2 linked regions of the Zea mays genome follow. The protein of the gene in region 2 binds, or shares a complex with, the protein of the main gene of each other region. Links are inferred from orthologs where the notes say so. Each region holds a gene or a part of one and is shown on either strand. Other genes may lie near its edges.

Region 1 (7,511 bases), about 130 Mb from region 2:
TATATTACCTAATCACAAGAGCCGATGACTTGCATCGAGCTGAGTCTTTACTTCAGGAACAAAATAACTCATGAGATCTATTGATTCCGAAGTACGCTAGATATTTTGGTTCGTCAAGCTTCACCAAAAGGTAGAGGGCATGTGTTAAACACCAAAAGTGGTGGACGGTCTAGCCCTAGGGCCCGATGATTCGCGCCCTCACGGTTAGATTAACTTAAACGATTTTACTTATCTTGTGTTTGATTATCCATTTAATCACATGGGATATGCTGGTTATCGCTTAGGAACGGGTCCATACATCCCTTATATATGAAGGGATACTGACGATTGAGAACCCTGAACACATTCCAATCGAGCCAATCTATTTACCTGCATTTATCTTTCATGCCTTAAGAGTAGATATAGTGTAGCCTTAGTTTAAATCTATTTGTGGCCTACCACAACTATCTCTCTTTTACTCTATGCTCTGACCATAGATGTCCCGGGTGGCCTGCGGATTCCGGGGCACTCCTTGTAACTCTCCCCCCTAATGGGATTTCTCCCGAGGGGCGAGTTTTAGGGTTCTTCGTGGAGAAAACGACCCTCTGCGCCATTGCGGATCATCAGGTCCAGGGTACGGACCGTCCGACCAGCACGCATGGAAGATCTGCTCCCGCAGCAGGGCCGCAGATATTCCGTGTTGCCGCCGGAAGCACCGTCAGGCGATCCGGTGACTGTAAGTGCAATCAACCCTAATTGAGGGTTTTGGTGATTAAATGACAAAACAAACAGAGATTCTAACAAGTTTGCTCCTAGCATGTACACAGTTATTCTACAGACAGGAGAAGCACAGATCTTATGAGCATAAAAATGTAAAGCACAGCGGATTTAAATTCTACATCATATGGCATGCTCCAAGTGCTTGGAAACAACGACAGTGTTCATTTTATAATTCTTGAGTTATAGGAATCGTCGTTCAATTAAGAGGGATCCGCGATGGTTCAAAATCCTTCAAAATCATCTTAGAGAACACTTTTCCAGATCATGAATACCTTTGTGAAAAACCATTTTCTCTTCCCACAAGAGTTCCACCTTTGTTCACTTCAAAATGTTCAAAACTTGCTCTTCAGCCTCTGAAACCGGTTCAACCGGACCTGAAACCGATTCAACCGGTTTTTGGACTGTTTCTCTGCCACCCCTGCTTTGACTGTCTGACAGTCATAGCTGTCAGAAAAATCGTTGCAGATATTTTTGTGAAACCGGTTCAACCGAAATTTTTCCCGACTCAACCGGTTTTGGATCCGGTCGAGTCCCCGGCTGAGTAGATCAGTGAACCGAGATCTTCCTGGTGGAAACCGGTTTACAAACCGGTTCAACCGGTTTACAAACCGGTTCAACCGGTTTTGGCTCTTTTCTCCCAACGGCTGCCAGCTTTTTGGGGATCCTTTAAATCCCGCCACACTCTCTCTCTTCATTACTTCTGCTCTCTCCACGATTTCTCAGCTGACCAAACTCCAAACAAGGGCATTCAATTCACATCTCACACCCGAAATCGCATCTCCTTCAATCGCTTGAAGGATCCTTGGTGTGAGGTGAAGTCGATCTAACGCGCTGTCAATTTCATCTTGATTCTCCCATTCTCTTTGTTCTTGAGCTCATTGCAAACTTAACCTTGTGCGGATTTGTTACTCTTGGAGCCTTGTGCTCCTTGACAGTTAGAGGTTGCTTGGGAGTCTCCAAATTTGTGGACGACCCCAAGAAGTTTATATTACCCGCTCTTTGAGCAAATTTGAGAAGAGATTGCCTTGACCTTTGTGGTCGGCTTGTGGAGGATTAGGGTTGGAAAAGACCCGGCCCTTTGTGGGCTCCTCAGCGAGGAGTAGGACACCTTTGTGGTGGTTGCCGAACCTCGGGTTAAATCGCATGTTCTTGTGCGTTCTTGTCAAGTGCCTAAAATTGTTGGTTGTTTTATATTCATTTATTTGAGTGGATTTTCTGTAGGGAAAGTCATTAGCAAAATCTTTCACTACTTCGTCATATTAGTTTAACTGATTATTTAATCTAAGTTGAGCAGGTTCAAACTTGTTCAGTTGTAAACAAAATCAACTGAACCGGTTTGCACCAGTGCAACTTTAATTTGACATATCTCGAAGTTTTTAGTGAAAAATTTCAGGTGTAGCCTATTCACCCCCTCTCTAGGCTACTTTCAGTGACCTGTCATGGACCGTCATCGCTGTTCACGTTGCAGAGCCGAACCCAAAGTATTGCTCGTCACGAGAAGTGACTAGGCTTCATTGGTGTTTGGTTTTAAATAGATGGTGGTCATCATAGAGGTGGTGTACTATAAATCAGCGATAGAGATAAAGTTCAAGACCGCATCCGAGATAGTGTTATTTATTTTACATCTTATCTACAATCTCGCTTCGGTCATTAGTAATTGGCGCCCAAATTAGGTCCAAGACACTCCTTCACACATTTTGCCTTTTTAAACGCAATAAAAAATATGGACCTTCCGATTTTCCGAACTATCCTCCAAGTTATTAGAGTTAATAGATAATCGTGGCTGGGCAAAATACTCGTGGCTCGTGAGCTCGCTCGACTCGTGGCCAGCTCGGCTCGACTCGACTCGGCTCGTTTCAATTTTATCACGAGCTGAGCTAACATCTCAGCTCGGTTCGTTAACGAGCCAGCTCGACACGAGCTCGAGCCAGCTCGTTAGCTCGAATGAGCTAGCATTTATCTGTAAAACAAAGCCTATACTTGTATTAGATGAATTAATAAGTGATGAACTATGTTAGTTTACGGTTTAGATGATGTGATATATAAAATTATGAGTATTGTTAGTCTTTTCTAGTGTTAAATTAGTATGAAATTAACTAGCAATTAATTATATTGTTGTATATATACATGTATAATATTTTTTGTTCTGGCTCGCGAGATAAACGAGCCAGCTCGAGCTCGCAAACGAGCCGAGCCGAGCTGATTCTCTGGCTCGGTTGCTTAACGAGCCGAGCCGAGCCAGCTCGTTTCCTTAACGAGCCAGCTCGAGCTCGGTCGAGCCGAGCCGAGTGGCTCGATATCCACCCCGATAATCACGTAAATTCTTTTTTGTGCGTGCATTGGCGATAGCGCTGCCTCCTCTTTGTAGCTGCTACCTGCTAGTTCTCACGTCACTGTAGTCTGTAACGTCGTCTTCTTACTCCCCCTATCCGACGCCGGGACAGGAATCAGCTTCCCCTCCATGCTCCGGCTGGAGCAATATCTCCGGTTGCTGCCGGCGACCAGCCACGCTACAGCGCCCGCGTTGATCTCGGGTTACTCTTTCCTCTCCAGTCCTCTCCCTCGCCTCAGTGCCCTCCGGCTAGCCCGCTCGCGGCCTCCCCCGCTCAGGGGCAAAACGTCGAGCCCCGTGCGCGCCTCGGCGGAGCCGGATTCTACGGTAAAGCGCGCGCCCGAGATGGCCCAGAGGGAGGTGGCGCGGGTGGTCGCGGATCAGGCGGTGGCGCGTTTGGGCGCGCGGCTGCTGCCGTCCGCCGTGCCTGCCGACGTCGTCGAGTTTCGCAACGCCGCCGGGAACGCCGTCGGCTCGCTCGACGTGCAACGGGGCTCTCCTGGCTCGTCGGTACAGTTCAATAGTGATCCTATTTTTTTTTTTCTTGTGGTAGTACCGTACCATGTTAGTATAATACAGCTTTCGTGTGGTTGCATACCAAAAGATAAGGGCATACTACTATACTGCTCTGTGCGTAATACGGTTATGGGATCTCCAGTATGACTCGGAATCGGCACATCATGCATTCCACCATTTTTCCTTGGTATATAGTACTCAAATACACACATCACCCCATATATGGCATCTGTATTGAATACCAAAAAATGGCTTGTGTTTCAGTTCAGTATGGTTTGGTGCACTTGCTGACCGCCTACTTCTCGCCAATTGGATAATTGTTGTCCACTGATCCATTCAAGGTGAATTGTCAAAGTTTTAGATGGAAATATTGCTAATGCAACTCTATCAAAGCATCTTGTCAATTGTAGGTTACTAACAGTTCTCCATTTGAGTCCCTTAGATTATTGTTGTGACTTGTGAGACTGCCGAGTTCCAGATAAAGAAACTGGCAATGATCCGTCCCGTGATTTCCAAAACTTAAACTGTAATCGCAGTCCAATCTGAATATCACTGTCATATATGTTGTTGTCCTTGAGCTGATAGTTCAATCTTAATATGTGATTTCAGTCATTGAAAACAGCAATGTCGTCGAGGATGGAAGAAAGCTTGCATTAACATGCTTCCTGTTTGCTACTGCTGTAAGATGTAGTAAAAAGAAACGATGACAGGACCTGATGTGCGTTTCCTCCTTGTCTACAGATTGATTTCATGCTGCAGTCCTCGCTTCACTGTGAAGTCCCGAACGGTGCCATTGACATCACCTCAATTCTCATTTTCCTGAACGCCTCGACGGACGCACCACATTTCCTACTGGAGCTCATACAAGGCAGCTCAACTTCAATGGTGGTGATTCTGGACCTGCTTCCACGGAAAGACCTCGCGTTTCACCCGGACTACCTGCAGAAGTACTACGAGGAAACTGGAATGGATGAGCAGCGCAGAAAGATCGAGGAGCTACCGCAGGCTCGTCCATACAGATCTCCGTCACTCTTCGTGCGCAGCGCATGCTCGCCTACAGCAATAATGGTGAGCATTGACTGTGGACAAGGGGGTGAGAAAGCCTTGGAAGAGATAATACATGGACAGTTAGCAAAGGTCATTCAGGAGGCTCTTCAGACTTGGCTTGACAACTGTGTTGATTCCACCATAGAGATGGATGAGGCGGAGAGGGACTGCCTGCTCAAGAGGGACCGGATTGTAAGGTCGAAATCGATAGAGGTTGACCTGACTGCAAACCTTCCCAGGATGTTTGGTCCGGATGTGTCTAGTCGGGTCATAACTGAAATCCGCAAGGCCTTTGGTGTACAAGAGCCGTAAGTCGTTCATAAATACAAGCATGTAGTTACTTTATTGTAGAGAAAAATTGTTGTGAGTCCATGAAACCCCCTTATTTGAACAATCGAAAGTATATGTGCTAAAGTTGTGTATATATTACTACCAAGTGCTAACTGAGATGATGAAAGTGAGCTATGCAGGTGAAGATGATCAGTTGTTAGGACCAGGTTTCCAGGAACAGTCTCTCATCACAGAGTTCCTAAGCCGTTCCTGTCTTCCTGATGCTAACATACCCAATAAGCATAAGAATTAGCTCTGCCTAAAAAGGAGGTACTGAATGGCGGTGTGTTTTGCTGCATCTTGTTTTATGTATATAAAACTTTGGTGTATATGGTGTACATATTAAAAAAATATCCATCCATGTTAGATCTACTATCCTTTGCCGCTGTATGTATTTTGCAAAGAACACTCTCCATCACCATTTTTCGCAATGTTCGGATATGGCATCATAATAGTATTATGTGTACCTGATATGTTCAAATGACAACTACAACCAGGTTGTTCCGTGTTCAAGCGAAACTGTGGCGAGCTAGCATAGCAGCAGCCACTCCTGAGCTCGGATGCACATGATGATGGTAACAAGTAATGTTCGATAATATCGGTCCTATGAAATTTGTTTTGATCCCGGAGGGGGGGGGGGGGGGGGGGGTCAAACAAGTAGCTACTGTCTTGTGCGTATCTGGACGTTGCATAGTTCGTGACGGCCGTTCGGGTTTATGCATTTGCTGGACTTTACATCAGTAACTTTTGGACTTTGGCGATAGGATGAAAATCTGTTTCAGAATGAAATTCACGTATGTATACAATTGTGCACGATAATACGTCAAGGAAATCCCTGGATTAAAACAAAGTGACACGTTGCGGTGTGCCTCATTGCATGGACGAGTTTTTCTCTATTTTTTGAATTGAATGCGTGAATTCAAACATTCAGCTTAAAGTAGTAAACTAATCAGAGCAGTAAAATGTTTGAGGATAAGATGTCCGAGTATCTCATCTTCCAAGTACAAAAGGAAATGAGAGTTCCAGCCGAAATGAGTTCATAGTTACTTTGGGATTGTCATGACATTGGATCCCGTCTTCCTCCTCACAGGAGACAAGGAAAAAAAAAAAGAAAGAAAGGCAACCGCAAAGTTATAACAAAGGCTACCCCAAAGTCTCGGCAGCTTGAAGGCAAAGTAGTAAATATGAGACCGAAAGCAAAAAGGCTTGAAGGTAAAACTGCAAATTGGGAATCCAGGCTTCAAACAGATATTTGAATTTAACGAGTGCCTCAGATGGACGCTTTGGAAGTGCATATCACCATGCCTGTGCACCAGAACATTCATCCAGAATTCACCAATTGCGTGAATCATCACCGGCACGTACGCAAACCACCACGGGGCGAGAGTAAAAAAAAAAACAGAGAGAGAGGGACTAACTCCAAACATATCGTGCTGCAGCTGCAGATCGGCCGGGAGACGAATTACGGCATGCAGAATCCTAACAATCACGAACTGGAACAGAAACAAACAGATTGGATGTGCAATAACCCCGCCAGAAGGAGATGAAGCAAGAACAAGACAGCATAATAGATATGCCACGAAAAAGCACGGCTCCATTCCAGTTCCAAACGTGCGGTGGTGGAGAGGCGGACCTGGAAGCCTGCTACTGGTAGTGCTAGGCGGTATGGTATGGCCTCAATAAATAGTCTGGCGGGCGCGGGATGGATCACGGACGGCCGAGATTGACATGGCCACATAATGGGCCTCGACCATGACCACAGCCGCGTGCCGCGTGCCCGTCGTATCAGCAACAGCGGAAGCAGAGAAACGATGCAAGGATAATCCATGTCTACAATGTCAAATACAACTTGCTCTATTCTGATGTTGTGCACATAGCCGAAAGTGATTAACATTGTTATTTTTCCCAGTGTCACTATCTACTTTCCTCCGAAGCTACACAGGGGTGTGTTGCATCTGTCTGAAGGCTTTTGCAAAAATAATGTCTGCTGCACTACCATGTCTACGAGGACATTGTGAACCAAGAATCCTTTGATGACACATGCTATGACCATGGCATCATTGTGAGGGTAATCCTTAAGCTGAAGGTCTTCTTGATAAAAAGTAATCGGTACATGGGACCATTTGGACTTGATGAAGGGTACTTGTACTCCAACATGTTGTACTCTTTTCTGTGCTTCCTTCTTTTGCTTCTTATTGGCTGGTTCGAAGCTTGAACCACCTGTGATTAGGAGCACTAGCTTCGTTGCCGAAGGAGACGCAGCTTGATCACCTTGCGAAGCGATTGCCGTGGTTGTGAAAGTGAATTCACCGGAGGTGGACACCAATGTTGATTTCTTGTTTATGATTCCTGAATCAAAAAATAAGGCAACATAAATGTTATATGAAAAGAACCTTCATTCTTCGAAACATCAAATCCTTTCGGGTTTGATGGTTCTTGAACGAAGGTTATGAAGAACAAATCTTCATCACTCACAAATACGAAAATGTGTCTTCAAATGTAACGTTATAATAAGTATTTATATCAT
Region 2 (7,353 bases):
TTTGACCGACATGCGTCCCAGACAGCAGACGGTGCCACGGGAAGATCACCGTTCGACCCCGTATAAGAGGGGTCGGCGCTAACAATCACGGCGCCGATCCCCTGCCACGTAGATGCCAGAGAGGACTTTTATTTTGGCGTCAAGACATGTAACATCGGCGTCAATAATAACGGCGTCGAGGTAAGAGTCTATTTCTTGAATTCAAAGCAGAAAACGTGTAGTTATGAAAATCTTTCGTAAAAAGGGTCAAAAGGCAAAAAAAAAAGTTGGCCGAAATACCTATGACAAGTTAGATTATACAAACATCAGGTTAGACAAAATGGCACTTAGTAAAAAATTTAGGGAGGCAAAACTGAAACAAACGATTTTGCTCACTCATGTTTTGCCTAGCATTTTATTAGAAAAGACAACTGGTTGAATATGATGGGTTTCTTTTCTGCTTGGCCAAATTTTAGCCTCAAATCAAACAAAGTTCATGTTTCCTAGAAATGGATACAATTTGGCTTGGCTCATTACTTGGGTCACAAACCAAAGGCTCACCATTACAGAAGATTCTGACCAGACACTGTATTGAAATAGTTTCACATGCCATCTTCGTGCCCAGCTCTAACTGCTCAGAGCCAGAGAATGGCATGATCACATCAGAATGTTCCCTGCAACTATAGGCGCAATTGAGAACTTCCATTTGAAAAATGGCATTTTACATGCTAAAAGGATCTGGAGACAATTTTAATCCAATAGATAATAACATAAAAACTATATTTTCGCACTGCATCGGCTACAGTTGAGTGCATACACTATACAAAATACATATGTGAGCAATATGACCTATACCCGGCAAAAAGTTACTTTCCCTACCTAGACGCCTAGAGCCCTAGACTACAGACACGACTCGCGAGCGAGTGATGTCGACACAACAGATCCTCACGAATCTTTCAATCAATGTCAGCATGCACGTAATCCACGAATACAAAATTCTTCTGGAGCTCATGGAATGCGTATGCTATAGCGGCACTGACCAAAGCAGCCGCACCGATCAATAGCCTGAGCTGAACATCTGGAGGAATACCAGCGGCAGCACAGCAAACTACTGTCGCTCCCATGAATACCTTCTGCAGATTCTGGAAAGCATTATATGCTCCTTTGCAAGACGAGCATTTCAACGTGTGCTGCTCGTATCTGTCTAGCATCTGCATAACACAAAGTCAATCATAAGAATACATGAGTTACTGGAACGCAGAAACACAGCTGATGAAGGTTTACGTGTGACTACTTCAAGATACTGTTTCCAGATCCAGTCGGTAGAAGGTGAACTTCGCTGTCAGTTAAGTAACTATTCTCAAATGCCTAGCAGTGAGAGTGGTTCGACGCTACTATCTTTCCAAATATTTCATTGAATTTGTCCCTTTGTGATACTAAGCACTTAAGCAGGTTGCTGTAAATACATTAGTTCATATGACAACTGATAATGTAAAACAAAAATTTGTGTGTCATAGAAACCAAGTGTACAAACAATGAAGACGTGATAATACGTTCTGCTCAGAAAGGGAAAAATCGAGTAAAAAGGATAACTGTAATAACTTACCAATGCATCGAGTATTAAGAATGTAAGCAAAACAGATCTTTGACCACCAAAAAGGTTGTCATATTCAGATATTTTATGTCTGAAGCAAATATTATACTGAAACTTTTTTGGTGACCCAGATGGCTTTTACCTCGCGCTTTGAAAGGACGGTGGAAGGCAATGCTTCTTGTGTAGGATTTCCAAACCACTCCGGCTGGCTATTGCCAAATTTCCTTAGCCACGTGCGGAATGCTAAAACAAATCGATCAGCTTGTGTGGGCGTGAATGTGATCTTTGTGTACTGCTGATTAATATCCGTAGAAGACTCCTTGGTTGCAGCTAGGAAAATCTTCTCCTGGCCTTGAAGAACGATCATATCGCCATCATAGACCAAATTTGAAGTCCAATGTTCATACCATCGAGGAACAAGCTACACCAAGAGAAAGAAGCTATCAACATTTGACTGTACACATATAAATTCAAACATGACCAAGTAATAAACTCTGCCAATAATATATGCCTACAGTAGGGACTAGGGACCTTTGCCTTGTTTCCCACAAAAACGCGAGAACAAGTTCGTTTTAGCAGTTAAAAGATTATGTTGACAAAACAAATAGGAAAACAAAGCTTAAGTAAAGGAAACACTAAACACACATGTACCTGCCACCATGCTTTTCCTGGCATTGTGAACTGGAAAAAGTTTCGAGCGCTACAGACAATAGAACGAGTCTTCCCTGGGGCCATTGGAATGTTGAAAGAGCAAATCCATATGACCCATTTCTGGTCGCCAAAAATGGGTAACTTTGTGTCTATCTCTATTCTGTACAAGCCAGTTAACAGAAGTTCAGAACCGTATAACGACTGAATTGCTTAAGTGGTAAATAAGAATCACTCCACACTCAAAGATGACCAGGTACTTTTCTGAAACTTACTTGTTTAATGCATAACAAGGGGCCTCAAAAGTTGCAGTAATGCGAGGATTACCAGAATTTGCTCCTGAGTAACCCCAGGCACCACTTGATTCCATCCTGAATGTCAAAGGCCTGGCTCTATCTCTTCGTCCAGTAACCTGTGAAGAGTTAAAATCTGAAACATGAGTGGATTTGCTGAAACCATGTATCCCGAGAAAATAAAGCATTTTGTTTGTCTATGCTGCCGGCACAAGTTCATGACACACAGATAGCACAATTAACTCAGCCAGTCATTTATAGGGTTTGGTTTGAGGAGCCACTCCATTCTAAATGTGGTGATGCATCATGAGTCAATTCCTTAAATTTGGTTGAATGACCCCATTCTTCATACTAGTACTAACTACTAGTCTGAGGAATGATGTGATAATGCACTGACCAACCTACTCCATTCAACAAACCAAACAAAGAAAAGAGGAATGAGTGGGTGAACTAACTAATCCCTCAAACCAAACACCCTATTAATGCCTGTTCAGACTAAGCAAGTAGCGTAAGTAAAAAAGAATAAAACTATGATGCAAAAATATATATGGGTGCATCCACAGTTAAGATCTAACAGTTAGGGTTTGGTTCCTTTAGTCCAGGGACGAAAGTTTAGTTAGAAGACTAAAATTTAGTCCCTACCCTGTTTGGTTCTAAAAACTATAAGTATTCAAAACACATTAAATGAATCATAAGAAGACCAAAATACTCCTTAACATCCTCCCGCCATTAGTGCAACTGAAATGAAGGAGGGCCAAAAAGTGGATTTTTATGGTTTAGCCCCTTAGAGTCATCCCTTGAGGGACTAGAGACTAGAACAGTTTAGTCCTTGTTTTAGTCCCACCGTTTGTCAATTTATGGACTAAATGGGACTAAAATGGAGGCACTGATATTTAATCCCTCAAACCAAACGGGACCTTAGTTAAACTTGCACGCTGGCAATCAGAAACGATAAGAGGCCAGACTCAGACCATTCAGCCCTTTTGCCCATTATAAGTCATTTCTGAGGAATTTCAATGCAGCATAAGTAAAAAAGAATAAAACTATGATGCAAAAAAAATATATGGGTACATCCACAGTTAAGATCTAACAGTTAGTTAAACTTGCACACTGGCAATCAGAAACGATAAGAGGCCTACACAATTAAACAGTATTGAGGTGGTGATTTTTTAGCAAACTACACAAATTGGTTGCAACAAAACATCTTTCCTCGAATCACCAACTTTCAACTGAAAAATACTATCATGGTGCTTAAGTGTGGCAAGCAACTAAGCTTTCTCACTGTACCAAGTACCTTGTGGTGAGCAAATTCTATATGGGACGGATCAGAGACGTTCTCCATCAACGTATCATAACCATAGAACAAGTCCCTCTGGATTGTCACCGTGGAGAAGGCCGGGTCCTCAAATTCTTTCGGCAACCTGAAACCAAACAAGATCGAATTCAGACACCGAAATGCAAAACTGAATCCAACCAATTAGCCGCAGTCCAAAGTCTGACTCTACGCACATTGGAGGCTTGGTGGCGGCCGCTTTCTCCCACCCATTCTCATCGGGCCACACGAAGAGCAGCCCCTGGGAGACGAGGGTGGGGAACTTGATCGCGCACGCCTTCGGTGACCGCACCGCACGGGCCTCAGGACCCTCGGGCATGGCCTGGGGGATCTTGGTGCAGGCGCCGGAGCCATCGAATGACCATCCGTGATACGAGCACTGCAAGCACCCCGTCTCATCGATCCTGCCCTCCTGCACATGCCCAGACCAAAATTAGCCGAAACGAGGAAGAGATCCGGTAGGACACGGATGAGGCGAGGAAGGGATGCGGGTCGCCGTACCGAGAGCGGGGCAAGGCGGTGGGGGCAGCGGTCGTCGAGCGCGACCCACTCGCCGGACTTGGGTTCCTTCCAGATGACGAGGTCGCGGTTGAGGAGCTGGAACGGGGTGGGGCGGCTGGGGTCGAGGTCCTCGACGAGGGAGACCGGGTACCAGTGATCCCTCCACGAGAACTTCTCGCCGGACTCGGGCGCCGACGTGCTCGGCTCCGCCTGCTCCGCCGCTTCCCCTGGGACGGACGTCGGCGCCGCCACGCGGAGGCGGGTCCGAGAACGACCGCCCACGCGGAGGCGGCCTCCAGCCAGCGGCACGGCGAGCGAGGGGAGCCGCGGCGTCACCAGGAGCGACAGGGCTGGGATTGTCGCGCGCATATTCTCCCCGCACGTGTCGACGTGAAGTGAAGTGAAGAGGTTTTGGCTTTCGCGTTGGGAATTCTTCGCCGCGCTGGCTATATGCTTGGCGGCCGGAGTCGGTGGTTGGAACGGTGCAGATCTTCTAGACTGGGCAAGAACAGAGTTCTGCCACGGCAACGGGGAGAAACCTGGTTTTGGCGCAAGAAAACCAGTGGACAAACAAGAAAATTCCGGGATTTTCCCACGCTGGGGAGTGAACGCGAGGGAAGAACTAGTAGGGCTGGGCAAAAAACCCGTAACCCGAAACCCAAACCTGGAATACCCGAACCCGAACCCGAAATACCCGAAACCCGAATTTTGTTTGGGAATTTCGGGTAGCAACTTGCAAAACCCGAAATTATTTCGGGTAATTCGGGTATCACAATCGGGTACCCGAAATACCCGAATTACCCGAACTTTCATGTGTCATGTACTCATGTCATGCTTAATAATTAATTTGTACATCTATAATTATGTGTAAGTGTGCATAACTTGGGATTGTAGATTGTTTGTGTTTTATATGTCCATGTATATCATTATTCAAACTATATTTTTATACTAATTTAATAGGGTGTATGTGTTTTTATGAAGCCAACACAATAGTTCGGGTAGTTTGGGAATACCCGAACCCGAACCCGAAATTCCGGGTACCCGAAATTCCGGGTATTGAAAAATCCGTTGTAATTTCGGGTATTGATTCTCAAAACCCGAAATTTAAAAAACTTGAATTACCCAACCCGAAAATTTCGGGTAACCCGAACGCCCACCCCTAAGAACTACTGATACGGTTCGGCTAGGGAGAATACATTGTACACATGGTGAGCGCAGTGTGGTTGCGTCACGGCAGGGAAGGGAGGAAGGGCGGGGAAGGAGGACAATTGTACGCGACCACGCATGGCGCTTTGCGGCATTTGTGCGGTGGAGCTTGCATTGGGCCAGCTAGCCGTCCCCACCGGGACGAATGCGCCGCGCGGAGGGGAGACCTGACCGGCGGTGAGAACGACACGAACCCACCCGTGGGCCGTGGCGGAATCCACCCCGCCGGATGTTTGCAATTCGCATCTTGCTGAGTAGCTACAAAGTTGAATAGATCAAATTCGAATTTGTTTACCAGTTCTACTACTACTTCCGTCCCTCAACCTATAGTAACCATTATAAGAGCATCTCAACTCATTTCAAAAAAACTTTCTAAATTCAGATTTAGCGAGCTGCTAAATATATACTGAAAAAACTGTCAAATCAGTTTTTCTAATTATTACTTGGAATTTTAAATTTAGTTTCATTTGTATGGTAAAGCTATCTTTAGACTTGTCAAATGAGGATGGTACATTTATAATTTTCGCGGCTTAAATCATTTAAAGTGTGTCACTTGTATACGAGCGCGATCCCGATGGTAGGCAAGTGAGTTTGCGATGCAGTTGACAAGCAAAATAGTTTATATGTAGATCTGGTTTAAATGTGATAATTATTTAAACATGTTCTAATAATACTAACTATAAAATAAGTCGACATATTTCAACTGATATCATTTAAATACTAAGGTAGTCATGCTATTTATCCGTAATAGTTTAAACCATGGTCCTGTTTGGTATAATTTTTTTTCTAAAGAATTTTTTTAAGAATCTAAATTTCTAGATAATCTAGCTGGCACGAGAATATAAATATCACGAGACTTGCGTTTGGAGAAAGATGAATATGTGTGCATGGTTTAGGTTTTAGAACGATGGAGTCTTCCTATCGTGACGACTTAAAGAAATATACATTCATATTGATTTAGATAGTTTTCACAGAAATGATACTCACATGAGCGGCCAAAAAAACAAAGCATTTGACTGCCACAAACTGATTGCGATGGCCATAATCTCCAGCCAGCGCTAGTGCCAACGTCCCGCCTTCCTCCTCCAACAGAACTGCGCGCGAGGAAAATACACGTGGGAACCAGCATGCGCAGAGGACGATTGGGAACAATGCTTGACGCGTAATATGGGGAGGGGAAGGGGGACTGTTGGGAGGCTCAAAACGTTTTTGGAGTTGATTTACGGGTTTTCTTGAAGATGCTCTAACCAAATATCCACAGCCACACCTCTGGCGAAATGAATCGGAATACTATCCACATATTAGAACGAACATGAACAAACACCTTGTTTAAAACAACTATGTGCGACATCAAAAGCTCTTAAGTTTGACTAGACTTACTAAAAATATAAGATTTTATATATTTTATTAAACCTATCATGTATCAGAAGTACTTTTATATAGTTGGTCAAGATTTTAAAAGATAGTGCTCTTCAAAAAGCAAGACATTTTAAAAAATGGAGATATAGTACTTTTTAGACGAAGAGAGTAGTAACTAAAATGTAAACTACTAGACAAAAGAATGTTGGCTCAGTCGGTGCAACAAAAAATAGAAACAAAATTAACCTTCTAGTTAGCATGCTAGGGCGCTAGGCTCTAACAAAAATTAGACATCATTAGTCCATATCCAGATTTCCTTATCTTTAAAGCCCGACGGAAACGGCCCCAACTAGCATATCATTCCGTGCATGCGTTCGATCCTTCATCTCCGTCTTCAATCGCTCCAGCTCAATAAGTCTCTAGATGTTTCTGACGGACAT

What was found. The genes of interacting proteins can lie anywhere in the genome.
Region 1: pheophorbide a oxygenase, chloroplastic (region 2) and uncharacterized protein LOC100272914 share a complex: the UniProt entries of both Arabidopsis thaliana proteins name them as parts of the SGR1-CCE-LHCII complex. The link is inferred for Zea mays from reciprocal best matches to the Arabidopsis thaliana genes ACD1 and ACD2.

The regions. Positions count from the first base shown.
Region 1 is NC_050096.1:144,515,004-144,522,514, reverse strand, and holds uncharacterized protein LOC100272914, read left to right. Parts: upstream 1-3,208; 5' UTR 3,209-3,220; coding exon 3,221-3,601; intron 3,602-4,348; coding exon 4,349-4,966; 3' UTR 4,967-5,124; coding exon of another isoform or gene 5,125-5,128; 3' UTR 5,129-5,357; downstream 5,358-7,511. UniProt on the Arabidopsis thaliana protein: Catalyzes the key reaction of chlorophyll catabolism, porphyrin macrocycle cleavage of pheophorbide a (pheide a) to a primary fluorescent catabolite (pFCC).
Region 2 is NC_050096.1:10,194,803-10,202,155, reverse strand, and holds pheophorbide a oxygenase, chloroplastic, read right to left. Parts: upstream 4,982-7,353; 5' UTR 4,718-4,981; coding exon 4,349-4,717; intron 4,260-4,348; coding exon 4,024-4,259; intron 3,936-4,023; coding exon 3,809-3,935; intron 2,634-3,808; coding exon 2,497-2,633; intron 2,385-2,496; coding exon 2,225-2,384; intron 1,995-2,224; coding exon 1,716-1,994; intron 1,191-1,715; coding exon 936-1,190; 3' UTR 683-935; downstream 1-682. UniProt on the Arabidopsis thaliana protein: Catalyzes the key reaction of chlorophyll catabolism, porphyrin macrocycle cleavage of pheophorbide a (pheide a) to a primary fluorescent catabolite (pFCC). Works in a two-step reaction with red chlorophyll catabolite reductase (RCCR).